4 linked regions of the Schizosaccharomyces pombe genome follow. Changing the gene in region 2 together with the main gene of any one other region gives a genetic interaction. Each region holds a gene or a part of one and is shown on either strand. Other genes may lie near its edges. The genes, in order: rgp1, nop10, ypf1 and dep1.

Region 1 (10,179 bases), on a different chromosome or scaffold from region 2:
AAGAAAGAAAAACAAAAAAGCTTCCCGAATTTTATTTGCCCACAAAAAAAAGAAAAAAATTGAAATACTTACGAAAAGTTATGAGATGTCGCGCAACGTCGCCGTCAAGACCAACGAACGACCGACCGACTCAAGTAGTCTGTTGAAGAAAAGCAAAAGGAAAAAGAGCAAATAACCAAATGGAAATAGACTCTAAAAACACGATGCGATATAAAGCGCAGAGCAAGACTTGAAGAATAGTTAGAAGAAAAATTCTAGTCTGCGAAACTGTCGTTTTCCTATGCGCCAAGCAAAGATGTAGTTGACAAGAGTGCTGCTATGCTGGCTGACTAAGGGTAAGTGCGTAAAGACGTACAACACTGCAATGTATACGAGTGCGCCGAGAGCGAGTGAGCGGGAGTGGGTGAGTATGAGATATGCGAGAGAAGCTCACCTAGTGACAAAAAAGTCAACGACAAAACCAAGATCAAGAACAGGGAGTATAGTGAATCTAATATATAAGGATTTCGGTAAACCCCGATTGTGCCTCTTTGTACTTGGGTTGAGCGGGTGGAAGAGGGAAGCAGCGGCAAAAGGAGGGGGGAAGAAATGAAGGGGCAAATCAAGACAAACGCAAAAGAGGTAAAAAGTGAATGCTGACAACCAGGTGCAACACAAACGGAACTTTGACCTCGCAAAATGTCACCTGAGAATCATCGCGTTTTCACGAGAGCGAAGTAACAAAGACGGGAGTGTTATGACAAAAGGCAAAGGCAAGGGCAAGACAGGGTAAGGTAAGGCTGACGAGTTGGCGACGGCTTGGAGCTCGTATTTTAAATATAACGCAAAAGAGAGAGATGCAGGACAAGGGCGATACAAGGCAAAATGTGTAGGCGAGGGAAGGCATAGATAGAGAGAGAGAGAGAGCGCACAATAAGGAAGAAAGATGGGCGAGATTGGATGAAATGGGTGAGTCAAGAGAGCTGGGAGAATTTCAAGCGTTTCTGTTTGTAAAGAAGATTATTATTCATCAACAAGGAACTAGATGGAGTGTGAAAGGAATGGGGATAGACGGGGATAAAGAAGAAATTGGGGTTATCGGTTACGTTGGTAGTAAAAAAAGGAGGGAAGCGTCATAATAGAGAGAAGGAGAAAAATAACAAAAGTTGGATTGGATAGAATTTAAAAAAAAAAAGAAAAAAGAAGAAAAAAAAGAAACATTCAATCAATAACAATTTCGAAAAATCTTTTTACTTTAAAAAAAAAAAAAAAAGCGACTTTATGGAAACTGTATTCCACAGTGCGAAATGAACAAAGCAACAAACGACTCTATTCGTCTTTGAGCCCATTCTGTTGGTTGAGGATATATAGTGTAGCGTAAGTTAGCTCACCGCTTGCAAAATTGAGCCTAGCACAGGGCGCTAGTAGAGACAAAAGTAATCAACGTAAACAAAACGCATCGTGTTACTTGCAAGATAAGAGAAGAAAGAAAGTAAAAAGGAAAAAAGAAAATTTACCAACGAATCACACTGCATATGCTTTTGGTTGATGGGATGGCTTGTCCAAAGCAGCCACAAGGCAAAATAGGAGGATGCAAAGCAAATGCGCAAGTAAAAAAAAAAAAAAGCATGCGAAACCGAACACTCTTAATGAGATGATGGAAAAAGGTGAAATTTCTTTACGGCAATTTCCACTCCACCGAATACCGAACCGATCGATCAAAAGTGCTGCGGCAGCGAAAAGTCTAGCGCAAAACACATTGCTGAAAACGTATCGCTCAAAGCACATCGCTTGACTTGATCTGTCATGCATGCTTTGCAATTTCCACGCCATCCCCTTCCATTCAATTAGTTTAGCCATGAAAGGATGGATGGATGACAAGAGCAGTTTGCAAAACGAAAAAAAAAGAGTGCAGTGGAACGAACTTTGCGAAAGGGTTCAATGTATTTCAGTAAATTGGCTAGACCCACATGGGCAGCGTATCTAAAGTAAGCTCACATAAGTGATTACGAGTTGCGAGAGCCGACAGTGACATTAACATTTGGGCAGGCATGACCAAGACCATGACAATATCTTACCTTTCTGAATGACGACCTCTTACAACCTGGATGCATCGATATTATTGATATGAAAACTTTCTTATTATACGAGATTCTTTTCTTACGGCCACCATGACTCTTTACTAGTCCCCCTTACTCTTCATTTTACTCCTACTACTCCCCAAATTCATACACACTTTCATTCGTCCCTACTTGATTCTCCAAGTATCACCCGATCGCTGTATGCTCGCTCCTACTGCGACGAGAAGAAAATTGCATCTCTTTTGTCCGTCGATCCCATTCTCGATTTGCACACGTACGCACATATGATAAGGCATCGTTGCAGGTGACGTTGTAATGTCTGCCGCTTCCATCAGCACGATTTTTAGTCCATAGCATCCCTGTCCCTTTGTTGAGCGCTGCACATAAAGGAAAAAGAAAAACCGAATGAAATTTGATTTAATGTAACATACATGCTTTACTAATAAACGAAGAAAAGAGTCGATAATGTCAAGGGGAAATCTAAAAGAAAAGAAAATACTATACTATACTATACTATACTAGACTATACTTTACTTTACTAAACTATACTATTATAATGAAAAGGATCCTCAAGATTCATTCTTATACGGATGTATGTTGTTTCGATGTTTATAAATAGGAATTGGATGTTTAGTTGGCGAGTTATTTAGATGTTTAATGATAGTTATTTGTATTATTTAAATTATTTGTATTGTTAATATTATTTAAATTATTAGTATTATTTGTATTTGCATCTATTTATATGTTTAATGATAGTTATTTGCATCTATTCATACAACTATTTCAATCATTCAACAGGAATAAAACCATTTCCTTTTTATTCTATCCCTCTTTCTTCTTCTAATCTTCCTTTTCATTCTTTCTTTACTCTCTCTCCCTACTCAACTCTTCCCATATCTAGCGTTCCTCCTACCTCCAGCGTTTCTCCCAAGTCTAGCGTTTCTCTTATGTCTAGCCTCTTTTATATGTTTCGCTACCATCTATTTAGTGAAGTGCGCAAGAATTTGTTCTTTTCTTCTTTCTTTCTTTCTTTCTCTGATCCTCCTCCTTGTGCTCTTTCGTCCTTCTTGCAACGTGCTATTTTTCCCTACAAGAACCTCCCACTGCCCAAGGCCCATCAACAATCTAACATGACGCGATTGATAGGAGAATGACTTTTAGGTCTCGAAAGCCAAACCTTACCTCTTCGGAAGATGCGCGTAGAAAAACGCACCGTTTCCATATCACCAAATAGGAGAAAACACTATCGCGCCTTATTCACTCATTCCAAAAAAGTGTCGTCATCGTCAATGAGGGCCGCTGTCATCGACAAATAAGAGGTCAGTCATCTTTCAAGGCCAATTTGGTCAAACTGACTCGACTGGTGCCGCAAGATGAAAAAAAAAAACACCGATGTCCATTAGAGCCCATGTGGGGCAGTGCCCCCTTGAGAAAACTGACTTCACCCCTACCCTGAAAAATGACGTAGTATCAGGGCGTTCCGAAACGGATATCGAGTCAATTTCCTTGGCATTGACGGTATGGACAAAATGGCAATTTTAAGAAAAGTCGTACCAAAACCATCTGATCTTCCCAATCACCAATGATCTCAATTTCACGTCACCTCTCACTGCACGGCGGTAAAGGAAGGAACGGGGAGGTTTTTTCCGAGATTGGCTCACTTGCTCACATTGGCAAGATTGGCTTCGAGAATAGCATAACCCAGTATAACACACTTAAAATAGAAATAGCATTGTGTAACGAAGAAAGCCAAGGCTGCGTTAAGACAGGGTTAGGCCAAGTCAGGTCAGACAAGGAAGGGGGGATACACATACAACATACCTTTTCCATTCCTTGCTTGCTGGCTTACTACTTCCATTGCAAAAACTGCTACTACTGCATAAAACGTCACTTGTCTGCTAATAATGCATACAAAGTTACCGAGAGATTGGAAATTTGATATTGTATGATAGATTGCATTCGTGACACTCAGTGTCCGAACCCCTAAATGCATAGAATGAAATGACATGATTGATATCAAGCATCAGCGCAAAAAAACACGCACCAGAGCCAGCGCTACAAGAAAGCATCGTTAGGGAGCCAGGGGAGCCTAAAGTACCCAAAAGGAGAATTGCGAAATCAAGGGAATTGTCGTTATCTTAAAACTAAGCGACACTTTCAATCATCCATCGTTCTTTCGTTCTTTCTCTCTCACAAACAATCGTTATATCCTTTTTTCGTGGCTTCCCACTTTACTGCACAATGAGGGGAGTACGAGAGAGAGCACGGTGCGGTAATGGATTGAATTTTCAAAATGGAAAGCAAAAGCGAAATCATCCATTCTCGCAGACGTTAGCAAGGTTGGAGTATGAGCTGGTTAAAATTTTTTGAGACTTGATTTGATCAACGATCGGATTACTCAATTGTTTGGCTAAACCGGTTGCATCCCCTCCATCCCTCCTTCCATTCCATCTTCCATCCACACAACTCGCTTTTCAATTCGAATCGGCAAAACACATTGAATCGTCTCTGCCGCAAACGTTGTCGGTGCATGCTGGATTTGCATCTCTCGCGAATTCGTTAGCGATGCCATTCGCTTGTGCTGACCGCTCTCCCTCCCTCCTTTCTTCTCTTCCTCCTTGCTTACCTCTTCGCTCAATCTACCTTCACTCACCCTCTGTACTTCTTCACTGTATCTCGATCGACTCGGACTCTGCACCTCTTCACTATATCGGGGATGCGCCGGTCCCTGCATCTCACGTTTCTTGTTCACCGCCCTTAACAATTCCACCCGCAAAAAGTGTTCCACTCCAAATTGCTGTGTTTCAAATGTTTCCGGACATTCCTCCGGCACAACCATCGAAGCGCTCATGTTTTCCAACTCAAACACTCCCCGTGTAATTCTACACCACACTTTTCGCGTCGCCCTCTCCGTCCCTACGCTGTTGCGTATACGGATGTCTGGCACAATACGCTCCACACTTTCAAGTTGCATATGCACTTGTCGAACCATCGCGTCCAGTCCTTCTAGCTCAATCATCATCATCTCTCCTGTCCGATATCTGCTTTTGCTCAAAAGCAATCGACATAACACTTTTTGTTTGCTTGTAATCTCAAACCTCGTGGCCATTGGTTGCTTGGATTCGAGTTTTTTTAACAACGCAATTTTTTCTTCATCCTCTTCCTCTAATACTTCTTCATTGATCTCTGACCTCATTCCATGATCTTGGAATTCTCCTCCTCCCTCTTCATTAGACTCTCCATCAAGTAGCTTTTTTATGTGTTGCTCGTATTTCTTTTTTTGCTTCTCTTCCTCCTGCGCATCCTGCGAAAGTCGTATACCGTTTTTACCGAATTGCCTACGTGCTTTCTCTGCTGAAACCTCTTCAATTTCTGCCGCATCTGTTTCAATAATCGGTTTGGATAAATCTGCAAACAGCTTCGAGGATTGTCTGTTTCCCGAATTCTTTCCGAGTGGCAGTTCAGGTTGCTGTTGAACGTTGGGTACTATAGTAATTTCAAATTCATGCTCTACACAAGCATTGTTGGTAGCTGATTGGACTCCTATGACCAGTGCGTGTTGAAATCGAAAGGCCAATCCTTTATATGTAGGTGCTGTTCGAAGGGGAATTCTTCGCTTCAACCGAAAGCATTTTTCCTCTCCAGGAGAAAGCGTGATATCGACTCCTAATATATCTGGACGAGTCAGTAGCACTGGAATGGCATTTTCCTGCTTTTGTTCTTTATCGGTTAGTATTCATGCTTAAGCAGTAGGTTGCAGTAAAAATAAGAGTAACCATCTTCCAAAAAAAAAAAAAAAAAAAAAAAAAATTGAATAAAGAGTAAATATGTTTCAAATGAATTACAAAACTCTTCCCAGACAACCTTTCTGTAATTCGTCAATTGACTTTATGTCCACCTCACCGTATAAGCACTCTTCCGAGCTATATCTTCCCTCCAAATGTAAGCCAATTGAGAGATTTTTTTTACCAAGTCTTTATTTCCTTTTGCACCCTTTCACCATTACATACCTGAGGCCTCTGTCAATGTACTTGCTTGTTTAACTCCAAATAAATTTCCAATCATCCCGTTCAGAGTATTAATAACAGAATAACTGCTGGATACCTTGGGAATATGTACTAATCCGCTCATTGTCCTTTTGTTTAAGAGCCCCTGCCTCTGAACCTCATCGAATTCTGTAACGCGCACCAGTACATAGTCAAGGTACATTTCACCATGGATAGAAGCATAGCACAAAAGTAAATTTACATCTTCTGAACTCCTTAGATTCGTGAATTTTACAATGCACTCAAAGTCAGTTCCGGATTGAACTACATTCACTGGCATGTACATTTGCACATCACATTCTGTCATTGTCGAACACCACTAAACTCTTATATTCGATAATTTCTCAAGCCGCTGGCTTCAGCTTTACCTTAATAATAACCATACAACTTGGATTTCTTCATTCGTATTGACGAACGTTTATTAGTCTCGTAACAAATGCACAATCAAAATAGTACTGTAAAAGAGCCCACTTTTCTTCCTCCACGACTCATTTTACGAGATTAAATAACGAACGCCCACAATCAATTTTTTACACTCTCCTTACTATTCCTTAATTTACTCATTTACGAATGTTTTAACGAAGCTTTGTTAACTCTCTGCTTTTGGCAAATTGTCACATTCCTTGCTATTGTCGCCCAATATACATACATACACTGCTTTTTTGGAAGTTAGACAGTAGCTTCTCAGGAATTGGGTAATTGTTATTCATCGTCGGAAATGAGTAATTCTGACATTCGAAGCTTCTTTGGAGGAGGGAACGCTCAAAAAAAGCCAAAAGTCTCACCGACTGTATGTTTGTTTCTTCAATCAGTCAAATTTGATAAGCTAGTCATTCATTTTCTAACGTCTTTGTCTAGCCTACTTCCCCAAAACCAAAAAGGAGTTTGAAGAAAAAAAGAATCGTTTTATCAGATGATGAAGATGGTACAATAGAGAATTCAAAAGTTCCTGCATCCAAAAGCAAAGTGCAAAAACGGTTCGTTTAATTCGGGTTATCAGTTTATATTTCTAACCCTCCAACTAGTAATGAGTCGGAAGATATTTCCCATTCTTTGCCATCCATTGTTCATGAAGACGATAAACTGTATGTTTATTTTACTTTTACCTCATTATGCGTTGTTCGCTAATTTGAATTTTTGTTTAGTGTCGGTTCAGATGGAGTTTCAACTACACCTGATGAGTACTTTGAACAACAGTCTACTCGGTCACGTTCTAAACCGCGGATTATCTCCAATAAAGAAACTACTACTTCCAAAGATGTCGTACATCCTGTAAAAACAGAAAATTTTGCCAATGACTTGGATACCACTTCAGACAGTAAGCCAGTTGTCCATCAAACTAGAGCTACACGTAAACCTGCTCAACCTAAAGCAGAAAAATCGACAACTTCAAAGTCAAAATCTCATACCACAACTGCGACAACTCACACAAGTCGTTCTAGCAAGTCGAAAGGCTTACCTAGGTTCTCAGACGAAGTTTCCCAAGCCCTCAAAAATGTTCCTTTAATTGACGTAGACTCTATGGGTGTGATGGCTCCAGGTACTTTCTATGAACGGGCGGCTACAACACAAACTCCAGGCTCAAAACCCGTCCCTGAAGGCAATAGCGATTGTCTCTCGGGAATTAGCTTTGTTATTACAGGAATTCTAGAGACTTTAACTAGACAAGAGGCTACAGACCTGATCAAACAATATGGTGGAAAAGTGACAGGTGCACCTTCTGTTAGAACAGACTTTATTCTCTTAGGTGAGAATGCTGGTCCAAGAAAAGTGGAAACAATTAAACAACACAAGATTCCTGCTATTAACGAGGATGGACTCTTCTATCTTATAACTCATCTTCCTGCTTCAGGAGGAACGGGTGCTGCGGCTCAGGCTGCTCAACAGAAAAAGGAACAAGAAGAAAAGAAAATCCTTGAAACTGTTGCGAGAATGGACGATAGTAATAAAAAGGAATCACAACCTTCACAGATATGGACTTCAAAATATGCGCCAACTTCTTTAAAGGATATTTGTGGTAATAAGGGTGTCGTTCAAAAACTTCAAAAGTGGCTACAGGATTACCACAAAAACAGGAAGTCCAACTTTAATAAACCTGGACCTGATGGTCTGGGTCTATACAAAGCCGTATTACTCTCTGGTCCTCCAGGTATTGGCAAGACGACTGCTGCTCATTTGGTAGCAAAATTAGAAGGTTACGATGTTTTGGAACTGAACGCTAGTGACACTAGAAGCAAGCGCTTGCTAGATGAGCAGCTGTTCGGTGTGACAGATAGTCAATCACTTGCCGGCTACTTTGGCACAAAAGCTAACCCCGTTGACATGGCAAAGTCCCGACTTGTACTCATTATGGACGAAATCGATGGCATGTCATCGGGTGATCGTGGAGGCGTTGGTCAGTTGAATATGATTATTAAAAAAAGCATGATACCAATTATTTGTATTTGCAATGACCGTGCTCATCCAAAGCTGCGGCCCCTTGACCGTACTACGTTTGACCTCCGTTTCCGTCGGCCAGATGCTAATTCAATGCGATCCCGAATAATGTCTATAGCGTATCGTGAAGGTCTCAAATTGTCACCACAAGCAGTCGATCAACTGGTTCAGGGGACGCAGTCCGATATGCGCCAAATTATTAATTTGCTATCCACTTACAAGTTAAGCTGTTCAGAAATGACACCTCAAAATAGCCAAGCTGTTATTAAAAATTCTGAAAAGCATATCGTTATGAAACCATGGGATATCTGTAGTCGTTACTTACATGGAGGAATGTTTCATCCATCAAGCAAGTCCACCATTAATGATAAATTAGAGCTGTATTTTAATGATCACGAATTTTCTTATCTTATGGTTCAAGAAAACTACCTTAATACTACACCAGATAGAATTCGTCAAGAACCACCGAAAATGTCACATTTGAAGCATTTAGAATTAATATCTAGTGCTGCTAACTCCTTTTCCGACTCTGATCTTGTTGATTCAATGATTCATGGTCCTCAACAACACTGGTCACTTATGCCAACCCATGCTCTTATGTCTTGCGTGCGACCTGCTTCTTTCGTGGCTGGTTCCGGTTCCAGGCAGATTCGCTTTACTAATTGGTTGGGTAATAACTCGAAGACAAATAAATTATATCGTATGCTTCGTGAGATACAAGTACACATGCGTTTAAAAGTATCCGCTAATAAATTGGACTTGCGGCAGCATTATATTCCAATATTGTATGAGTCTCTGCCTGTAAAGCTATCAACAGGCCATTCAGACGTCGTTCCAGAAATCATTGAATTGATGGATGAATATTATCTAAATCGTGAAGATTTTGATTCAATAACGGAATTAGTTCTTCCTGCAGATGCAGGTGAGAAACTCATGAAAACCATACCGACTGCTGCAAAATCTGCATTCACAAGAAAATACAATTCTTCGAGTCACCCCATCGCCTTCTTTGGAAGTAGTGATGTTTTACCTATGAAGGGCTCTGCTCAGCGCGAAGTGCCGGATGTCGAAGATGCAATTGAAGCCGAAGATGAGATGTTAGAAGAAGCTAGTGACTCAGAGGCTGCTAATGAAGAGGACATAGATTTAAGCAAAGACAAATTTATTTCGGTACCAAAGAAACCTAAAAAAAGGACTAAGGCAAAGGCTGAAGCGTCCTCTTCTAGCTCAACCAGTCGCCGATCCAGAAAAAAGACAGCTTAAAAAGCTCTGAAAATATTACTTTTACGGATTGTATATGAGTTATCGGGATTATATTGCTGAGTAAGTGAAATTTGCGAATACTTTTCAATTACTTTGCAACAATAGTAAATAATATAGATTTTTTGGTGGATTTTACAGTTCTGGTAAGATATGCTCAAATTTTCTTAATCTTAAATGTGTGTTCTTTTGTCCGTTACATACTTTAATGTTTATAAGATATATTATATCATATTTAGCATGACCGTATTTGCAAGGTTAGATTTAAAAATTCGGTGAGTGGTATTTTCAATAAAGCTATCGTGAACCATATCATTTGTAATTGAGTCAGTAAAATAAAAGCTAATTGACAGGCGGTTTAAAATGTATAAAATTAT
Region 2 (6,696 bases):
ACCTTCACATTCGATGGGTTCTCAACAGTCTAAGTATGTTTATTTTTTTGTCCAATTTCTCAACCTGCCGTAGGTTTGGGGAAGAACCAATACATTATTAACCAAATTACAGGTTAGACTTTAGGAACGCGGTTTTACGACTACACGAAGAAAGGGTAGGTAATATTTTTCTTTTGGTTGGTTTCATAATTCAGTGAATGCCAGAGAATACGAAGTTCAATTCTTAGGATTCTCTGCTAATGAATGTGAATTCAATTTGAATATAATCATAAATAATTGAAAATTTCAAGTGTACTAACCAATTCAGAACATTCCAAAATTTGACCTTATATGGGAGCGTGTAAGTGTGATCTTTATTCGTGAATATTTTTGCTAACTAATAATCTTTAGCTTTGGACGCTTCCAGAAACAACCGAAGACGTGTTTCATTTGATGTCTATCGATGATTTGACAAAAGTTAAAGACAACGCTCCAGAAAATTTGCAAACTATTATTGCTGTACTCTGGGACAAATTAGAAGATCTACAAAAAGAAACATTGTTTGATGACCCCGCCGCTCCCACTACAAAATGCGCGTTAAATTGTATGCGACTTTTGACAAGGCTTATGCCAATTATATTTGAGGATAAGTCAATGTTAGAATGGTTTGACTATTTTGCGTGGACAGTTCCAAAGGATCCGAACATCAATACACCCCGAGGAGCAAGCTTTTTAAACACCGTTGTAGATTATCTGTTCCTAATCAATTTTACCATCCCTGCTCATAATGATCTTACCCATGGAGTTCACTACTGTATTTGGGAAACTGGGGTAGTTTATCATCCCACAATGTTGAAAGAGCGCTCGTACGAACTTCACCGTGTCGAAGTCCTCCGACTCTTACTTTCATTATTTTCCGAGGAAATATATCGAACAGATGGCAATGGAAGCAGTTGTTGTGCTTATGTTGCTTCAATAGCTAACAGGCGCTTAGTCCTTTGTCTTCTTTCTTCTCTCATCAATACAGCAATGCGTTTCAATACGATGTTTTGGAAGCCTGAGTTTCTTCCCCTTGACAACTCGGTAGCTCACATGTCTTTGATAGAGTATTGTTTTTCTGTCCTACTCATACTAATGTCGGAAGAAAACAACAACGGCACTCCTTGTTATAATAATTACCGTTCTTCAAAAAACACATTACCAAAAAACTATTTTAGCATTCTGCTTTCAAAACTTCAACCTTATTCAGATTTCCAAATCATCCTTGATGGAATGAGCAGACTGTTATATCCCCCTATGCAATCTACCATTCCAAAAAGAAGCTCATTGATTATGTTTGACTACTACCCTCTTGTATTAATTTTTTGCAAACTTTTTATTCATTATAACGAGAGGTTTTTTCATTATCTTATTGATACCGATCGAGCAATCGATTTGTTTATATTTTTGTTATATTTAAGTTTTGAATATCTCGGAGATCCTTCGACTTATAACCACTTAAAGCTTTGTGTAATTCTGTTAAAGCGCTTGACCGCTGAAAAATATTTTTGTAAGCGCTTAAACAAGCCATTTCAACAGCAGACCGCCTTACCAATTAGCATGCCAGTTCCTTTCGAAGGTGGTACTTACGCAGATTTTACCATTATTGCAATTTCATTACTAGTGCAATATACTAAAGATTATCATTCCGAGATTGCTCAAATGCTTTGCTGCTCGCTTTGCTACCTTTGTTTATACGCGCAAAATTTAAACTCACATTCCAGCCAGAGTTTGTTTGAATTGTTTCAATCTGCTTCCTATCCAGGCTTTTTAATTTCTAACGACGTCAATCACAAAATTTTAAAGTATGTTATAGGAGCTATCAACAATGCAATTCAATATGCCCAAAAATACAATGCACCACTCTTATACTTCTTTTCAATGCACAAAGATTACATTGAAGCGGTCAGCGCTTTATCGTTTGATGCCATTATGAGTGTTAGAAACTCATCCGCGGAAGGAGATTCTGCATACTGGACTCGCAATGGTAAAACATTTTCTTCAAAAGCGTTTGACTCCATATTGTTAAGCCGACTTCGATATGTTAGGTCAAAAAGTCCAACGCCATATTATCCTATAGAAAGTAGTGAATTTGGTTTCACTAACCTCAAAGACGTTACTAGCAAAGATGAAATTACTGATGGATTCGATAAAGCACTTCGCTCCAATTCTTTACGTACTCACAGGGATAGTAGGCCTGTCCAACCATTGTTGAAGCAACGTCCTCAATTACATAGAGCTCTTACAGAAAGTGCCACACTCCATGGCAATGACCGTTCGTTAGAAGATACCGACGAAGCGAAGGTAGAGCCAATTGCTCATTCAGTAGATTACACTTTTAAGCCGACTGTAGAATGGTGGAATAAATGGTGGCCTTCGCTGAACTTCCGAACTATGCTCGATATTTTCACTGACCTATCTCTCAAAATCAGTGATATGAAGAAAGCCGGTCATCCAGCTTCAGAAATCATGGCTATGATAAAAACTCAAAAATACCCAGCAACTAATCAACCATACATTCCGAAATATAGAACAAAGGAATGGAGACAACAATTGGCAAATTTTGCTCGTCTATTCGCCTGGCAAGTCTCATGCGATTTAGACAGTCATAAAAGAGAAGGGCCAGGCATCTTTGAAGGTACGGATGTCAAAATATTTGACTCATTTTAGACTTGAAATCTCCTTGAGGATTATGCTTGAGCGGCATATCTCCGTTTTAAGAATTGAAATGGAGAAATTTGAACTATCCTAAGTTTTGTATGTTCAAAGAGTCTGTTTGAATAGATACTTGGCTTTTTACATCTGTTTTATTTTTTTATTATTTCTTTTCACAAATTGGTTAAAAAAATGTTGTTTCGTTTTTCATTCAGAATTACCACTAGTATGTTACTACTTTTATCGTTATTTTACATTCTCAGTAACTGTTTAGCATTTACTAAAAGATTTTATGTATACACCAGGGATTTATTCTTTGTAGTTTAATAGATAATAAATGCAAATGCCAAACAAATAATGCTTCGCAATAAACATCGGAAAATCAACTCAAGTTGAAATATATTTTTTTTTCAATTGAGCACACTACTCACATAACCAAAGAAAAATCAAAACTATTGATTATTTAACCAAAACCATACTTATGTAGCTCCCTTCTAAAGGCGAAAATTTTTCGACGTTTTCTTATTTGCTCAGTAAGGTTTTGCAGCTAATCGTTAGAACACTATCATTATACCAATTAATTTAATAGAAATACTTACGCAATTGAGTAAGTAGTACATGAAACCGTTTTTTCAGAGTATAACGTTGTCGAGAATATTTATCGTCAGGAGAGAAACGAGCAGGATGCGAAGATTTTGTGACTCTTCCATCTGGAGATACCTTTTTTAAAGTATAAACACGCTTTCCCTCATCATTTAAATAATACATCAAATGCATTGTGAAAAAAAAAACGGATATTACAATTTTCCTATGGTGCTGGAAAGGTGTAAATGTCAAAAGTACCTCAACTTCAGGTGACTGTTTTTGTTGCTAAATTACGCTAAAGCATTATAACACAGACATAATCAAATATTAAATTATTTAGCGACTCTCTTCTTTTATTATTCACTAAAATTTAAAAACAATACTGTAAGCAGAATAAGCAATATGGGGTTAAGGATATAGCAATCTTCGTAAAATTAAAACAGCTATTGTCATTATAATAAATTAGAATAAAATAATTTCTTTTAAAATCCGAGTTTTCAGCTATTAAGAAAATGCGATTAATTATTGACCAAATCAGATCCAACTATTTAGTTTACATCTTTAACATACGTTTGCTTGGAACATTTAGTAATTGCACCTTAGTACACTTAACTTATGGGTTATTAAACAAGGGAGTTAAACCTCTATTTTAAGCAGTTCGTTTTTGATTGTCTTTCTTTAGGGAAATATTATTTTTTTTTTTTTATTGCGCATCTAATTAAGATAGATAATTAATTGATGTCTTTGCTTTAATAATCACTCAAAGAATTGCTCTTTGTCTCCTTTTCAAACATATCCATTAACGTTTGACTAAGTTTGTTCCATGCAACCTCCCCCATTGAATTTTCAAAAAACAAAAGTAAATTAACCAACCGCGGTAGAAGACTGGATTCTGATAAATCATCGTCAGAATATCTTTGTACTCTGATATATTTCCTTGAACAATTGAATATATGGCTCAAATTATCATTCCTAATGATACACTGTAATCCACCTAACTTTTGCACTGCCTTTAAGCTTGATGGGTAAATTATGTACGGACATTGTTTGTGATTATATTTTAGTAACTTCTCTGCTTCTCCGAGATCCAGCGTTTTCCCCACATCTGTAATATGCCAACAGAGCATTCGAATCGGGTTGATCAATAGTCGAGATATAAACCAGTGCGAACTGAATGATTGGTGGTAAAGGCTATTTTCAAAATTTCTTTGCATAAATTTTAAAATAAGTTCTTGTATAGCGATTCTCTGTTTCGGTGTAAGCGACTTTTGTCGCTGATGAACAAATTCTGACAAGTATTGAAACAACGTTGATTCATTGTATTGCTGACTATGTAATTTTGTCAGAGCGATTCCTTTCCTGGAACAGAAAAACAAATTTTTCAGATGAGTAGAAGACATAATTTGATACAGACCACCCATTGCAGCTACAGCATGTAGATGGTATCGTTCCAAATGGAATGGATGGGCAAATGATTTAAGAAATAAGCGGTTTGCCTCCTGTAATACAACCATTTTTTTTGCAATCATTAAATAAGAAATCAGACATAAGGTTGGCTTAACCAACAAGCTAGCGAGCAACGTATTAAATGAAGAAGAAAAAGAATTATTGAAAAGTTCTTTTTCGGATAACTCTTTCCTGGCGACGTTAAACTTTGAAACATATAAATCAAAATTTTGGTATATAGTCTTTTCTGATTCAGGAATAGATAATATTGAAATTGACTCGTTAGATATTAATTTATTAGGAATCACAGTTTTTATGCTTCGAGTAAACTTGTAAGTTTCTTTTTTTGTCTCCTCGACATTTATTGTTTCGTATAAAGAGTCAATCATGGCATCCCAAACGTCCACTGGAACAATTTTCTTTCGATTTTTGGAAGATGAATATGCTAATAAAAAAATTTTTGCGACAAATAAGTCATCTTTTTCATTTTCTACAAATGCAAGCAAGTTTTTTTTTAAACCCATCAAGTAAACAGCGTTGTATAGACCTCCAATATACTTAATTGCTAATAAATTTCCTTTCGTGAATTGTTTTGAATGATTGCTTGCTGTGCTAACAGCTGTGTCTTCAAATTTCATGATTTTTTTACCGGATAAATCTTCAAAAACTATTTGAGAAAACATGAAGTGCAAAGGATCAACGAGTAAGCTTGTGAATGCCCAGCATTTTGATGAATTTTTCAACAAAAACTCGTCATTGTGCGAACTAACTTCAACGTAAACATCTTTGAAGACAGTATTAGTATTGATTGATGATTCTTTGAAAGAAACTTTGTCATTGGCGTTGGAAAGTATGGAAGCAATCCTTATATACAACTTTTCAGATGATACGACACTATCGTCAGTTGAAAGCAAAATAACTTTCTGAGCTGAACAGTAAAAAACATCAGTCAAATATTTTCGTATGAAACTTTGAAGAGAAACAAAATGGTAAAAAATGCTTTCAGGAATCAAGCTCTTCCAAATGTATTCAGCTTCATTTATACCAGTTAAGCAATTGGATCGTCTGGCATACCAATAGATAGCTTGAATTGCGTTTACAACAATAGATGTAAGTTTTTGGTTCTTTCTAAAATCAATGACGGGGACTGTAGCAGTAAGGTCATCATGTTTTTTTTTTTGCCAAGTTGAGTGAAATCGCCTATTGCAGCAATTGTTTGAAACAATGACTGAATTTATCAACGCATAGGTGGTTGCTGTAATTTTGAAGAAATCATTAGTATGCTTATAATTTGCAAAAATAACCTCATCGGCCTTCGATATTATTGCTTTGATTGGAAATCTGTCGCGCAGCTGATGAGAAAGCAAGTTCATTACGGGCCGCTCAAAAAGGTGGCTTTCTGGATTTTTTTAGAAAACTATCGTATACTGTTAGCAATCATTGAGTATTGACGACCGAGTATTAAAAATCTAAAGATTTCTTAATTAGTGTATATGAAGGAGAGGACAAGGTAGGTCCTTTGAAGTAGCTTTGTTGAGAATTTAATACAACAAAAAAAACACGCTTAGACGGTGCTTAAATAGGTTCAGTAATTCTTTCCTTTTTTTTGAATTATAAATAATCCTTAGTGAAAGAGAAAGTAATGAAGCACGTCAAATAACAATTTAATCTTACAGATTTACGTGGATAACCCTAAAGACAGTAACGGTGACCTTTTGTTTTACATTGTTTTCTTACTATTATTCGAAGACAAAGCTGAAAGAAAAAATACTTTTAGATTATACTTTCAATTAATTAACTTAACAAGCTTATAAAATTACCACTAGTTAATTGTTCGATTACCACGGGTTAAGAGAAAAGTGCTATCGAAAAGAATTATGAAACATGGATTTGTGCAATTTCTACTGCTGTTATTTACTAAAGTCGAATAGGACACAATCAAGTGGAGCTGTTTATATCGGTTCCACACCAGATCCACCTAGAGTAGGTATT
Region 3 (7,301 bases), 2.6 Mb from region 2:
GAAGAAGAGCAGCTTCTCATAATATAAAAAGGATACCTAAAGGTTTAAGGGATAGAGCTTTATATGAAATGCAACTCAGTTCCTCATCTACTTTGCCCATTGCACCTTCCAGACAACGGTTAAAGAGATTCATCAAACGCTTGCGAAGAAAGTTAGCTAAATCAGGTGAAACCAAAGCAATTGACAGTACGGGAAGCTTGGTTACAGACAATTCTACAGATGATTCGCGAATTCCGTCCTTGGCTGCCGTCAAGTTAATACGTGGAAAATTTGCTGGTCGTCAACTTCGGAAGGTATGGCTTCCCACTCATTTATGGGTATGCAAACGCGCACACATGATAAATGCTTGGGGATATGCCATTCCCGAAAAACCGACTGAGAAATCCTATCGTCCTACCCATCGAGCAGCTTTTCGGAAAGATGCAATTGCATTCGACATGTCTTATGAACCATTGTTTTGCATTAGCGGGCCATACGAAGCTCTCAAAGAAAAGTTTGGAAATTCTTTTGCAAACGGACTGCCTCCTGTATTTCTGAATTCTTCTAGATCATTTACATCTTACCTCGTGAAGTCTGACATACACGAGCTCATATGCCCTTGTTTTCTACAATGGAATAACCCTACAGAAGATGACAAAAAACAGATCCCTGTAAAAAATCCTACCGAATGTGTGCAGTTAGTTATACGTTTACATCCATCTGCATTTCTACAAGCATGGAATTACTTATCTGGTATAGCTGTTTTGGATGATCGCATTGCTATGCACGATTGGCGACTAGATCTAGCATCTTTTGATATTCACGGACCCGATAGCAACATTATGCTCCACAAAGTATTTGACGACGTTGAATTAGATGAAGCAGGAAAAGTTTGGCAGTCGATTTCCAATTATTCAAGCGCATGCTTACCCATGGGCGCCTCGATATCTGTGAAAGCATTAGTTAATACTCGTTGCGATAAAAATTTATCCGAAAAGGGAGAAAAAAGCTTATTAGATTCTGCTGAAAACAGTTTACCAGCATCTGCAAACCAATATAGCACTCATTTTAGGTATTGGGAGAGACAGGAAATACCCTCTTTTGCAGTTTTTGAGAATAAAAATAGACATACTCATGAGAAAAAATCTTCTGAAAAAGAAGTTATACCCGTGTATATTACGTATAGAAAAGAATGGAACGGACTCACTGTTATTTTGCCTTGGGATTATGCCAAGTTTGTATGGAGGAAGATGATGTATCAAAAAGGAATACGTTTTGGCGGATTAGAAAATTTGCACCAAATTGCGTTTGAAAAAAGAATGCCTTTCTTTCCGATTGATTATCCAGATACGATTAGTGGGCAACTTTGCGAAGAGGAAAGAAAAAAACGAAATGAAGATAGCTGGAAAAGACGTCCACCTGCCAAACGCGTAAATTATCAAAAATTCGGAGATAATTTTTCAGAAATAGGTAACCCGTTTTGTTGTGATTGGGTTTATCTAAACGAGATGGTTAAGGCTTCACGAGATGAAGATAAAACTCTGCAGCTAGTACGTGTTCAAGTACAGTTGGTGCAAAGAGGTAGCCTGCAAGATCGGGCTCGAATTTATTGTCTTAGTGACGATGAACTTAGTAAATGGAAGACCATCATTTATAAAGAAAATCTCACTGCTGAAAATTTGCTTTACCCAAAGTGTCCAAACGAGACGGCTATTATAGGATTCGTCACGACCGGAAATTTCAATTTGAATGCAGGCAAACCTTCTGGTATAGCCAATGTTCTAGCCAAAACGATTAAAAATGAGAAATCCGGATACTGTATTATTCGCAACGTAGGTTGTAGCGTCCCACGATTAGCACAATGGAAGTTTAATCAGTCTCATTAAAAAGATTTGAGGACTGCATTCCAATTTTGCCATGTGTATAAAAAAAGTGTTACTTTTATATATGACTGATAATTAAAACTCCTTTATATCTGTTGGCATCTTCTTGGATGCAACTAACTAAAAATTGGTGAAATTGAAATGCTTTCAAATAGAATAATTGCTAAATGACGCTTAAATATAATTACTGATCAGTCAACTGAAAGTTATAAACCGATCACCAAATTTTCCGTTTTGCCGTAGATAATACTGAATTCAAGGGTGCTTTTTCAAATTCATTTATTCATGCCGTTATTCTTTAGAACATATTTATGGGAATGTATTACGATATAAAGTATATTGCTTTGTTTACACATATAATACGCAACGAATGCATGACTTTGTGGGACCTAATGGCACATTCAAGTCACACCTATATGCTCGAGAGAAGAAGAAAATGTTTAATTTAGAGGTTTTGAATGAACTAGTTTCGAAAAAGCCTAATAACATATTCAAAATACAAACTATTAACTGCTTGTTGCATCAGGTTACCTTAAAACTCATTATCTGACATAATGCACTGTTAGCATTTAAATTATTGTGAGTCTTTTACAGTATCCTCCTAGACAACTGTTTATACTATTGCAAACGCGTGAGGAAATATTTTCACGAGTATTTGAGGTTTGAAGGGGATAAGTTTTTGGATTTCCTTTGGTTCATCATTTTACAAAAGATGGAGGGAGTAATACTTGCTTCGTCAGCTTTATTTACAGTTTATATAGGGGCGAAATGGTCTGCCCAAGAAGAAGAACCTGAAGAAAAACAACTTATTAATAAGCGCTTAGCTGTGCTGTTTCCTATTTTTGGAGGAGTTACGCTTGTTCTGATGTATTTGGCACTTCGATATCTGAGTAAAGAATATATTCAGCTGATACTACAGGGCTACGCAAGCTTAGCATCCATAATATGTTTTGTACGTAGCTTTAATCCAAAAACGACATTTGGAAAAATTACCGCAACCATGAGTTCAATTGCCATTGCATTATTCTACTTTAAAACTAAACATTGGATGGCATCCAATATTTTGGCATGGGCATTAGCTGCTAATTCCATTAGTATTATGAGAATTGATTCGTATAATACTGGTGCGCTTCTCCTTGGTGCCCTTTTCTTCTACGATATCTATTTTGTATTTGGTACCGAAGTCATGGTGACGGTAGCTACTGGAATTGACATTCCAGCTAAGTATGTACTTCCTCAATTCAAAAACCCTACAAGGCTTTCGATGCTTGGTTTGGGTGACATTGTCATGCCTGGATTGATGCTTGCGTTAATGTATCGATTCGATCTTCACTACTATATTAATTCTACCTCCCAGCCTAAGAAGCACTCGACATATTTTCGGAATACCTTTATAGCTTATGGGCTTGGCCTTGGAGTTACAAATTTTGCATTATATTACTTTAAAGCAGCACAGCCAGCTTTGCTTTATCTCAGTCCTGCCTGTATTGTCGCTCCATTACTAACTGCTTGGTATCGTGACGAATTGAAAACACTCTTCTCCTTTCGTAGTGAAACAGAAGATGAAACTGACGAACAAGATAAATGTAAAAGTACTTAAAATTGGTCCTTGATTTAGAATTTCAACATTCGTTTGTTAAAACCCATTCCTTACTTCACGCTCATCCGTTATTCGCCATACCGTATTTCCATAGTTTGCCATGTATATACGTTATACATATACCATGATATTCCACTTACCTCAATTCAATTTTTTACAAGAAATTTGCAAAAACCTTTATTTTGAAAGTTTATTTTAGAATAAAAAGTATTTGATTACAAAATTTAAATTACTCCAAATCACTACTAAAGAGTTGAGCATAGTGCATTTATACCACTTTGTTCCTTCGGCAATTATTTGACTCTGGTGTCTAAAATTTGAAATAATAAATAATTTTGATTATTAGTGAATTTCAGCTGTGTTTCTCCTAAAATGTTTGGTCTGACCACGAAAAGAATATTGACACTGTTTACCAAAAAGCGACAGACGCTAGTTGAGCAAAAATTAACAGAGTATATGATTGCAGGTGAAAAAACGGATAATCAAATGCTTCATTTTAAATTACAGGTCGAAACAGCTACCCCAACCCTTGACCAATTGAATATCATGCTCTCTAACATTGGTAAAGATAAAAGTGATTTACTTGTCGCAGGTGCTACGTCTATTGAAGATGCTTTGACAAAGTACCAGCATGATAATCAATTGTTTCGACGACCTTGCCTTGTGGATTGGGATAAGGGAAAAGTTAGTCCATATTCCATCCTTCTCCAAACTCGCGACTTTTCTAAACTTTTATAAAAATATCTCTTATTCCAACGACCGATTTTTACGTATCATTTTAGTTTATGAGCATCCTTTCAACTGATGTTGAAATGCGATGCATTTCAAGTTACGAATAATAAAAAATTTTGTTATTATTATATCTGCATATTCAATAGTTACTGTAATAGGATTCATCAGAAATTCCTTTTTATCCACTTAATATGTCGTTCGTTGCCAGATCTTTCGAATGGACTTAATTGATTGATATCTTGAGTTCGCTAGTAAACACATATTTGTACGATAGAAAACTTTTTAAGGGTAATAAATTAGCTAACAATGAAAGAACATTTCGGAAGTAGAAAGCTCAAAATAGATTCTTCGAATCATAATAAAATGAGACTTTAAGCATATGTTAAAGCTAGGTAGGTTAAACGGAAATGAGAAACGTGACACGCAAACTGTAATCAAAAAAATTATTTTAAACTAAACTCTAGTAAACGCGCGATAACAAAACGTAAAAGAAAAGGAACGGAAGGTAATGCTATATATTCTTTAAGGGTGCGGGCAGCCAACTGCTATGTGGTTTTATTCAATAAATTTTTATATATCATGAAATTAATATCGTCAGAAGTTGTAGTAGTCGCAATAAATGGCTTTCAAGTAACGGCTAATAATTGCTATCAGACAGGTTAAAATTGGCTACAAACCATGAATGCGTTGATGTCGCCGCATATTACTGCGTACATTGAACGCCTTTCCACATCCAGCGTAATCGCAGACAAACGGCCTTTCTCCTGTATGGGAATATGTATGAATTTTTAGACTAGAAGGCCTAGAAAATCCTTGTAAACATTCCGTACATCTATATCGAACGTTGGCAGCGGAAGAGGTAGACGAAGAACCGGTATGGGATTGTGCAATTTTGCGTGAAGTTGAATGTCGCCGCGATACATGAGCTCTCTTATCGTTGTTGTGATGATCAGAATAATTTGAATCAGATTGCTGACCCATTGGATGAGCCTGCGCGCTGTTGCTAGCCAAAGTAGCAACAACACTAAGTTCCGCGCTCATGTTATCCTTGAAATTTAAAGAAGGAATATATGGATTTCTGGATAAAGTGTGATTGTTTTCAGCGTCATTAGGAAGCGGAACCGAGACTGGATAAGAGGTGTTTGCCGGGCCTTGAGAATCATTTGATTGCGAGGTTGAGCTTTCGGAAGCGTTTTCGGCTTGATTACCATTTGCATGATTTAAAGTATTACTTGCAGGAGGAGCAACCGATGAAAGACGTGATTCATCGACTGTGGGATGATTTTGAAGATCTCGGGAGCTGGGTTGATACTGTGCAAATTCTGTATTATGCGGAACAGGGATGTGCTGGGGCAGTGCACCCTGAGCACATCCAGGACATACAATTGGATAAAATGGCTGTTGAAAAGGAAGTACTATGGGAGCGGCAGGAATAGGAGCAGATGTAACTTCTTGATTATTAGAAGACGGAGGATTTGCGCCTGAGGTATTGTTCTTGGAACTAGGCTGCTCTGCAGCTTCAGAAGATTGCCTTTGATTAGCAAGCGCCAGTTCGTTAGCCTTTGCAACAAAATATGCATAGGAAAGAGGGGAGTAACCAGACAAAAATCCAGCAGGAACAGCAGCCGGATTAGAGTTTCCATTACTAGTGTTAGAAGCATCAGTCGCCGAGCCTGTAGTCGCGTGAGCATAATGCGGGACGGCAGCAGCTGCTGCTGCTGCCAAGAAAGTCGGGTCGGCGAATGTCCCACCTAAAATAGTAGAAATGGGAGGAAGTCTAAGTCGAGCGCTTGATGCTGCCAAGAGGTTTGGAGGCATATGAGGATGGCCGTGAACAGTAGTACAACAACAAAGTGCGTTGTTTGTAGAAGGAGAAAACTCTAACTGACCGGCAGCATTCAGGATAGCAGGCATGCTTGCGGCTGATGTGACATTGTTCTCCAAATTTTGATTAGAATTTGAAGTAGTCGGGGTGTTAGTATTACCTGCAGGAGGAACTGGTGCCGGTGTTGGACGAGATACATTTGCAGATTCCGAAACAGTAGCAGCTTGAGGATCGAAAGCTTTTTGAGCTACTTGTGGAACATCTACCGAGCCATGAAAAGCAGGATTCTGCACATGTGGGTATGGACAAGCAGGAAACATGTTATATACTATTCCAGAAGTAGTGGGAAGAGAAGATTGAGGAGGGTTCTCGTTATTACGTCTATTGATTGAAGGAGTGTTATCTGAGCTCATCACTTTTAAAAACAGCAAAAGCCTAAAGAAATGAAAAAATTGAACTGAACCAAAGTAAGTCAGATCGTTCTATTCGGAGTAGCAAAGAAGCGTCACTGGATAGAAAGTGAGTTATAATGAGACTCGGTTAAATATATTTAATTTCTGTCGTGAGATTGAACACGATATTACGAGAAAGTCCTCTATATTTGAGGGGTGAAAGTGTCCGATATTTGATTGACACAGAATTGCTATCCTACGAAGTAAAAGAATATCTCAGTTTAGCCAAAGCAAGAACAATTAAAAGAGGCAATGCAAGAGACAAAAGAATAACGGGATCCAAGGATGATCAATGTAAGAATAAAAAAGCAATTGATCGACTGATTAACCCTACAGTAAATTTTTTTTTGGGGGTTTTTTTTATAATAAATAGCGGAAATGAGTGAGCGGAACAAACAAACAAAGCAAAGAAAAAACAAAAACTTCCTACAACCTTTACGAAGAGGAAGGAAAGAGTGAAAAAACTAGAAAAACCAACTCAAAGGCGCTCTAGGACAAAAAAAATATGGTCAATCGTTTCCACGTGACCAAATTCCAACGAACCAAGAAACACAAATAAAAAAACTAGGAGAATACAGAAAAATTAAAATGAGATGCAGCAACAAAGGGAACGAAAAGTAATTTGTTTGCTCTCCACAAGCCGACAATTTTTACAGCACTCTCTTTCCTCGAAGATAAATCCAATAAACCGCTACCTTCCAAAATACCAGAACGTGAAAAAGGCAGGAAACAAAGAAAATTAAGATATCCGTATGCCAAACGAGTGGACTCGAAAGGGCAAACAGGATAAACCAAGAGAACCAAGCTACAATTCAGTTGTTGGTCAAATG
Region 4 (8,239 bases), on a different chromosome or scaffold from region 2:
CGAAGTTTTTGGTTTTAAATAAATAGAATTCCTTTCCTCAATCAGAGATGTATGCACACGTGAACGGTACTTAATTAGATCGTAAGTAGAATTTCGTTTCTCTATCTTTTTTTGCAAATCAATTTCTTCCTTTGATATTTGCTCATTCAAATACCTCTTACGAATAATATGCATGTAAGCTATTCTGTCGTCCCTTCTCCTTTTAAAGTATTTCCAAGTCCAGTGATATCTGCTCTCATGAACAGAATCTTTAACAACTAAAATGGCATACTTAAACCACTCCAATGGTTTCTCTTTAGGAGTCGATTTAGGCCTATATTGAAGATAATATTGTTGCTTCATTACAACACGAAAGTAGTCAATAACACCAAGTAAACTGTAATACATATGATCACTTAGCGTAATTGATATTTCTTCAACAGATAATTTTCCCCTTAATTGCATTATCTGGTCTGTCGGATGTCGAAATAAGACAACATGGGCGGTTGCCCGTAGCGGCTTTAAAATGTAATTATAAGCAGGTGACTTTTCTGCACTAGGAATCAGGTTCTTTAAATAAGAGAATATGTCTTCTGTAGTAGTGCATTTAGAAATTTCACACTTACTTATCCAGTATATTGAGAAATAATCAACAGTAATAATTTTATGAATGCAAGAGGAAGGAATTGGATCGGTTGAAAGCAAATATTCGGTAAAACTAGCATCTGTAGAGGTTACTCTTAACGAATAAAGCGTCAATCCAAGAGAATAAGGTTTTTCAAGATCACTCAAATTATCTTCAAACCGCAAGTGAATTCTTTCGATGTATATTTGAATGTTATCAGTAAGTTTGGCAATAAGATACTCAATAAAAGATTGTTTTCTACTTATATTTGGATTTGATGAAGACTCTTCTAAAGTTTCTCGAAAATTTTTCCGTAAGATTTCAAAACTATCCAGCTGTTCCTGCTTTAAAGCTTGTTGAGATTGCTCCAACTCATCGCGTGTTAAAGAGTTTTTCGCTTGGGGATGAATTGACAAATATATGTCTTCAATATTGATCGTTAAAGATTTGTTCCGAAGATTCGACCATGGAATTTCCAGCGTAAACGTGCCAATTAAACCACTAGTGATTTCAATGGGAATTCCGAGTTTATCTAAGGCCTATAAAACAATTGTCAGTGAAACTGCAATCAATCGTTCATTTTTAGTTACCTCAGGTTTTATTCGTAAATTATGCAAACTAACATGGCCACCCCAAACGCCGATGTTTAGTTGTTTAGTATCCAAGTTGTCAACATACGAACCTAAAATTTTGTTCAAGAGGCCTAATTATTTTATTAATATCAATGTCTTTCAAAAAAAGGTATAATTCATACCGGCAACTAGGCCTTCTAACATGTTTGTTGGCTCTTTGACACTGAAATTAGGTAAAAGGCAGTTGGCATCCGACTTGGTGAAAGTTAGCAATGCAATTGCGAATAGAGGAATGTTTTGTTGAAAAAGAAAATCTTTTTATTCCATTTATACATTTAACAAAATTATTCAATATAAAAAGAAAACGATTATGAGAAGAGGAAACTTCATTTCCGTATAACGCACCTTTTTATCATCAAACGGATTGAGTCTAAGTGAAAGGAGTATTACTTTACTTATTTGAACAAACTAAATCTTTTTTTTTTATTAAATCAGTTAAATTAAAATCCTTCAAATGTACATAGGACTTGTTTACGGCGCTAAGTGCCACACCATTGAATGCGTCAACAAGTCAGCTTTATCGAACGATAAGTAGGATACTTTGCTTAACTAGTTTTGATTGCGAAGCACATGATTATTATCAAATTTAAACATACTTAATTGTTCATAAGCAAATTTATTATAAGGCAAAATGAGTAAGACGGATAGCTGTTACAAACTTAAAGAATCGCTGTAAAATTAATTCATTAGTTAAGTCAGAAACAAATACTGAATTAAAAATATTAACCGAATATGTAAATTCTAAAGAAAATGAAACAAACGAAGAGCGAATGTGTTATATTATCGCTTAGAAAAAAAAAAAAAAAAAAAGAAAATACATTAGAATAGATAACGAAAGGCAAGAGTTTTAACTAGGCTCTGAAAAAAAAAAAACACTCTTGACACCGTACCAAAAAGGAAATTGTGTGTCAAAATTGAAGTAAAACGTGAAGGAAATTAGGAATTATCGCGGGGAATGAGGATGCTTGAAATTAGTCTTGATTTTCACTGAGGCATCCCATTTCTAAAAGGTCGTTGCGGATGTCATCAAAAGAAGCTGTTTCGATAATAGGTGCTGTCGGAAACCCAGCAAAACTATTAAGCTCACACAAAACTGCAGCTTCATATTCAATTCGTTGCTTCTGTAACAAGGCACTTTGGCGATATGACATGGTTTTTTGAGTAATATATGTGGGATCGTGAACAGATTTTTGTTTGTTTAAAAGCTGAAAGCACTTCGTTGCAATTTTGGTTAGAAGCGCTTGTCGTATTCTTCTTTTATCAAACAGTAACTGATACTTCCTCTGTTTCGTTACATAGTCCATTACGTTTTTTATATTCCCAAGTTGTTTCATGAGGTTTTCAGTAGCTAAACGCACACGATCATCTCGCCGCTCTGTTATAAGATCAATGCAGGCATTAAAACGCTCATGGGTTTCGTTTTGTATCATTTCCTCATGCTCGTTCAGCTTTAACAGTTTCTTCCCATATAAACGGTTTCGTAAAAAAGTAAACTCCGTTTCTATATTTAGCAAAGCATCAAACGCTTCTTTCCGTTTTATAGCCTTTTCATCGTCAGCTTCATGAGCCTGTTCAGATGCGGAACGACGATCTGCAATCTCACGATCGGATTCCTCTTGGCTGGTCTCAAGAGCTACCCTTTTTATTTTGCTCTCACTGTTAGTAGACCATTTTCGAGAAACTGTTGCACGTTTACGCTTTCGACTTCCAACGCCACTTCGAGGACCACCTTTTCTGGGTGCTTCTAAAGTTCCACCTCTTTGTGGTATCTGGTGGTCAGAATCTTCGGTTCTTTCAATATTCGACTCTTCGTCTTCTTCCTCCTCATGCTCAGAAGACTCCTCAAGTTTCGAGTTGTGGTTAGTCTCTATGAGTCCATTGTTGTCATTGGTAGCTTTTTCTTCAGACTCAAAGTCAGATTCCTTCAATGAAGGACTAACAATGGTTATATTTGCTGTGTTTTCCATCTGAGGTTCCACAGAGTTGTTTACCAGTATGGTTCTGCCAATTGCACTTGAGTCACCTAAGTCCTCAGTGACTGATACCGAACCAACTAAAGATGTTTCTTTCTCTTCATCTTCATTTAAGACTACAGTTTCTGCCTCAGATACATTATCATGATCTGTTACCTCTAATTTAGGAAGTGACGCTAACTGATGAGTTGTGAGGGACGTGGAACTGTTCAGTTTGTTCACTGGCGAGTTTTTTTCAATGATTTCAGAATTTTGAGAAGGCAATTGAGGTGCGATAATATCCTCATTAGCATTGGTCTCTGGATTAGATAGAGCCGAATCAACAACCTGCTCACTTTCAGCGATCGAATTATTTATTCGTTTCTCTGAATCTTTATTTTTAGGAGAGCTTTTTAAGTTGTTCATTGGTAAATCAAAAGGCTCCTTAGGGAGTATTTCATGGGGAATTGATTCCGACTGCAAATTTTCGGTCATCCTGAATTAATTCTTCAACTTCGTTCAAAATACCCTCTCGTAATTTACAAATGTCAGAATCTAAAAAACAGTATCGTTGATTTTCGTGTGTTTTCATTCAATATGTATGTTTTCGAATGAATTGGTAGTGTTGGGGAGAGGATGACATTTGATAGCTGGGCATCAGTAATAATATTCATACTCAACTTTTACACATCCTGTAGGGACATCTCAAAATTTTGAGCCAAGAACTTAATAATTTGTTCTAAATTAGCACTTCCAATTTATACTTTTATCAAGAATGGGTTAGGTGAAATATTCTCAGTCAACTGTTACTCATCAATGAAACTTGGCGAATGAACCATCGTCGATCAAAGGCTTTTTATTAAATCAATCAAAGAGTCTCTATAGATAAACTCTATGCTAGTCTCTGAGTTAACGGCAATTGAAGTAATGATGGTAAAGCTTTTTAATTCAGTACAAACAATTCCATTTTAATTTCAATTTATACTTTATTTTATCAACTGCTAGCGATTTTACAATTATCTCTCTTTGGCAGCAGAATACTACCATGAACTGATTATTTAACTTATTTGAATATTACCGATTATAGGTGTATAAGGAAAAAAAATGTGATTCCTATAATCAGTCATTTTTTATATTTTAATAATCTTCCCTTCAATTAGAACTTTGAAATTTTGATAAATTACATTTTATTGGTAATAATGAATAAAAAAATGTTTCTTCACGTACTAGATGATCATATCCAGTTTATCATACTGTAAGTTCAATTCTATAGAATCCAAATAGGAACTGAGCATTAATTAGTCAATATTTTATTTATAAAATGAAAGAATTGATTATTATTACAGTCTTCATTTTGGCTAACAATTATTATTTTTCTTTCTCCCAGTCACAAGTAGACAGCGTCATTCGACGTTGACACCAATAGACACTAGTGACACGTAAATTTGAGCAATATTTTTGAACTGGTGCATTCTTTATTTTCAAGATATTAAAGGTTGACAGGGTTTCCTAAATTCTTTGAAACACCTCTTTTAGTAGCTGCTATACACATTTATTGAACAATTCCTATTTTCTTTATCAGGTTTGCCAGTGTTTTCAATCGAAAATACCCATTGTAATTAGTTTATTTATTTTTTTGATTCTTGATAAGGAAATGCTCTTCTGAAAGTCAATAATTGGTGAACATGATTAGTTTTTCTCACTGGAATTCTCACATACGTTCGGGACTTAGTCTAAGCATGATTCCTTCTGCAAACTCTCGTTTTGCTTTCATTATTCAAAGAAATTATATTCCTGTCGTTAACTCGCAGAACACAAGATGGAAAAGGTTATGCGGGACACAGTCAGTTTGGTCACCATACAAAAAAAAGCACGTACTGGTTAATCGATTGAAGCATATATCTTTATTCCCCAAACCTATATTTGCAAGAAAGTTTACAACCCGACAAAAAAGTGAAGACCAGAAGCAATGGAGGATACTAAGGATTACATTTCTTGTCCTCCCTTTTACGGTCGGAGGATTATGGATTTTATACAGAGTCAAAAATCGAAAGAATAATATTTTCTCCTTTGACGAACTTGAATTAGAAGAGAGAAGCAATCGACCTCGTTCTATTTTTGGAAAAATAAAACAATTTTTTAATATTCTCCTCAGGTCATTTAATTTATTTATTATTTTCTCTCCAATTATTATTACCTTACCGTTTATCGCTCTTATTTCTTTCCTGCATCTTCGATCTTTGTCGTCTTTAACCGTATCCATTTGGCTTCGTTTCCTCGTTACTCAATTAGAAAGAGCAGGAGCAACGTTTATCAAGGTACGTTTTGAATTTACGCTTATCATGTTACTAACATTATTTTTTTATTTTGCAGTTGGGACAATGGGCTGCTTCACGGACAGATTTGTTTCCTCCTGCTTTCTGTAAAACACTGTCCAAATTACATTCACATGTAACGCCCCACAGCCTTGCCTATACTCAATCAGTCATCTGCAAGACTTATAAAGTGGAATCTATCGAGGAAATTTTTGTTAATTTTAACCCAATACCTATAGGTGTTGGAGCAATTGCTCAAGTCTATACGGCTACCATCAAGAAAGCAGCTACGCAGCAAGATAATTCCTACTTTACAAGTATGCTACAATCTATAGGGTTTCGACAGAAAAATATCTCTGATGCGCCAGTGACTCAAGATGTAGCCATTAAAGTTTTGCACCCGAATGTTGAAAAATACATTTCTTTAGACTTACAAATCTTAGGTTTCTTCGCAAAATTAATTAATTTGGTACCTTCAATGAAGTGGCTTTCTCTGCCCGACGAAGTTAAGGTATTTGGGGCAATGTTAAACCAGCAATTGAATTTACATTATGAGGCGCTTCATCTCAACCAGTTCCGTCTTAACTTTAGAGGAAATAGATATGTTGAATTTCCAGCTCCCTATGATGATTACACGACTAATCAAATCCTACTAGAAGACTATATGCCGGGTATCCCATTAAGCGCGTTCCTCAAACATAAGTCAGGACCATTTAACAAGTTGTTAGCTAACACAGGAAATAATGCATTATTTCAAATGCTTATTGTTGACAACTTTACACATGCTGATCTTCATCCGGGTAATGTCCTTGTTAAATTTTACAAAGGAATCCCTAAAACAATCTTTAATCAAGATAATGAGATTAATGACTCAATTTATAAAATTCTAAGTACATGTTCGACGGAGGAATGGGATTCTGCTATGGAAGAATTAAACATCTTGGGCTATCGACCGACTTTAGTATTTTTGGATGCTGGATTAGTAACGAAACTTAGTACGCAGGATCAGAAAAATTTTTTGGATCTGTTTCAAGCCGTACTTACTTTCCATGGCTATGAGGCTGGACTGTTGATGGTTGAAAGGAGCAGGCAGACAGAACGCGTTATAAACAAAGACATATTTGCTCTTAAAATGGAACATTTGTTGAATGAAATTCAAAAGAGCACGCTTTCACTGAAATCACTTCAAATAGGAACTATATTACAAGAAGTAATGACTATGGCGAGAGAGCATCATGTTCGAATTGAAGCAAATTTCGCAAATACTGTGCTATCTATCCTTTTAGTTGAAGGCGCTGGACGCCAACTATATCCAGAAATGGATCTATTAAGTAATGCTACACCATATCTTCGTTCTGCTTCATCGAAATCCAATGTCTCACTCACAAACCCAATGGTTCAATTATGGATAGCTTTAGAAGCTAGACAATTTTTGCTTTTAAGCACCTCTAAAGAAACGGTAGAAAAGTGGGTTAAGTCCGATATGATCGCACCCAATATATAAAAAAATTACGGTTTATTTTATAAATGATGGAAAATTGTTCATGAAAAATATAGTCGCAGACATGGAAAATAAATTTTATAAACTCGTGTTTTAAAGAAGTTATTAAAGTTCAAAGTTCAACAAGTAAAATTAAACAAAGAACCAATGGAAAGAAAATGTATCACAAACTAGAAAGCATTACTTAAATGAAGAATTGATAGAGGTTACTAATGCAAATTAGAGCCCATTAAAAGATAATATGTACTCAATGGCTCAGATACATCCTCCCTTTTTGTCTTCGATCTCGTAAAACACGACGACCGTTAACAGAACGAATTCGAGATAAAAATCCGTGTTTTCTTTTACGCTTTCTATTTGAGGGTTGATACTCGTTTCCATACGTTTTCCAACGCACTTGCTGCATTTGACCGAAGATGTTCATAGTCGGTAAAGAACTGTATAAAGTAGCGGTATTAAAAGGGTTTCTTGTCGGAAACCCTCTCATAGTTCCTCCTCCAGCTAATATTGAAATATTCCTGGCTCCCTTCATGGCAGGATGCAACAAATTTCGAAATTGTTGCATAAACATCATAAAGCAATAGGAATGAAAGCAGGTGACTGGATTTCAAGAGAAAAAATTTCAAAAAATAATATAAAAATTATATATGAACGTAAATGTGCAAAATGAAGAGATTTGAGATGTGATGGAGTAGCTGGTTATTAGAAAGGTTGAAGTGAATCAGTGTAGCACCGTTTGACATTCGAAGTGTTAAATTTCAAATATTTGTGTTACAATAAATTAAAATCTTTGCTAAAATCCAATAACTACGTTTTAATAGTTTCATTCAATTCACTGGAATGTCGGTAATATAATAATAATACTATTATTATTAATAAATAGTTCATTAACCATTCTTTATACGCCCTTAAAGAAAGCAACCTGAACCCCTAAAATTTGATATCGCTTTTGCTTTTTCCCAACAAATAATTGGCATGAGATTACCAAATAGTAAAATCCATCAGTTTAATGAATTCGATTCATGGGCTAAAAGTGATAATTTATAGTACAAAAAAGGTTTTAGCAGTTAAATGACATCTTATACTTTCTTTTATCTATTTTATTTTATTAATAATACCCAGTATTTTAAATTGGAAGCAAATTGCTGCAGTCCCGGCTTTTTAAATATTGAAAGCATATTAAATATACTCATATATGGGAGCATCAATACATTAAATTTATCAAAAGTTATTAT

Evidence for each region.
Region 1: mutations in nop10 (region 2) and rgp1 together harm fitness more than expected from each alone (negative genetic interaction), as found in Schizosaccharomyces pombe (one large-scale study listed by BioGRID).
Region 3: mutations in nop10 (region 2) and ypf1 together harm fitness more than expected from each alone (negative genetic interaction), as found in Schizosaccharomyces pombe (one large-scale study listed by BioGRID).
Region 4: mutations in nop10 (region 2) and dep1 together harm fitness more than expected from each alone (negative genetic interaction), as found in Schizosaccharomyces pombe (one large-scale study listed by BioGRID).

What each region holds. Positions count from the first base shown.
Region 1 is NC_003423.3:3,852,588-3,862,766, reverse strand, and holds rgp1 (protein sat1), read right to left. Parts: upstream 6,549-10,179; 5' UTR 6,414-6,548; coding exon 6,071-6,413; exon of another isoform or gene 5,781-6,070; coding exon 4,471-5,780; 3' UTR 2,751-4,470; downstream 1-2,750. Other genes in the region: DNA replication factor C complex subunit Rfc1, read left to right, coding at 6,825-6,896, 6,965-7,083, 7,132-7,191, 7,252-9,805.
Region 2 is NC_003424.3:1,632,055-1,638,750, forward strand, and holds nop10 (snoRNP complex protein), read right to left. Parts: upstream 3,451-6,696; coding exon 3,273-3,450; exon of another isoform or gene 3,221-3,272; coding exon 3,204-3,220; 3' UTR 3,057-3,203; downstream 1-3,056. Other genes in the region: SPOM_SPAP27G11.12 (uncharacterized protein), read left to right, coding at 14-33, 113-155, 308-340, 391-2,688; SPOM_SPAP27G11.14C (uncharacterized protein), read right to left, coding at 4,008-6,077; structure-specific endonuclease catalytic subunit Slx1, read left to right, coding at 6,589-6,687. UniProt on the Schizosaccharomyces pombe protein: Non-catalytic component of the H/ACA small nucleolar ribonucleoprotein (H/ACA snoRNP), which catalyzes pseudouridylation of rRNA and is required for ribosome biogenesis.
Region 3 is NC_003424.3:4,187,779-4,195,079, forward strand, and holds ypf1 (intramembrane aspartyl protease of the perinuclear ER membrane Ypf1), read left to right. Parts: upstream 1-2,482; 5' UTR 2,483-2,574; coding exon 2,575-3,462; 3' UTR 3,463-3,703; downstream 3,704-7,301. Other genes in the region: pop100 (Rnase P/MRP subunit), read left to right, coding at 1-1,865; SPOM_SPAC25B8.18 (electron carrier protein), read left to right, coding at 3,835-4,200; loz1 (zf-C2H2 type transcription factor), read right to left, coding at 4,864-6,432.
Region 4 is NC_003423.3:3,797,324-3,805,562, forward strand, and holds dep1 (Rpd3L histone deacetylase complex subunit, Sds3-like family protein Dep1), read right to left. Parts: upstream 3,827-8,239; 5' UTR 3,684-3,826; coding exon 2,208-3,683; 3' UTR 1,862-2,207; downstream 1-1,861. Other genes in the region: vps1301 (lipid transfer protein), read right to left, coding at 1-1,143, 1,195-1,307, 1,359-1,380; cqd1 (ABC1 kinase family protein ), read left to right, coding at 4,874-5,506, 5,562-7,007; mrx14 (mitochondrial 54S ribosomal protein bL34m), read right to left, coding at 7,252-7,578. UniProt on the Schizosaccharomyces pombe protein: Component of the RPD3C(L) histone deacetylase complex (HDAC) responsible for the deacetylation of lysine residues on the N-terminal part of the core histones (H2A, H2B, H3 and H4).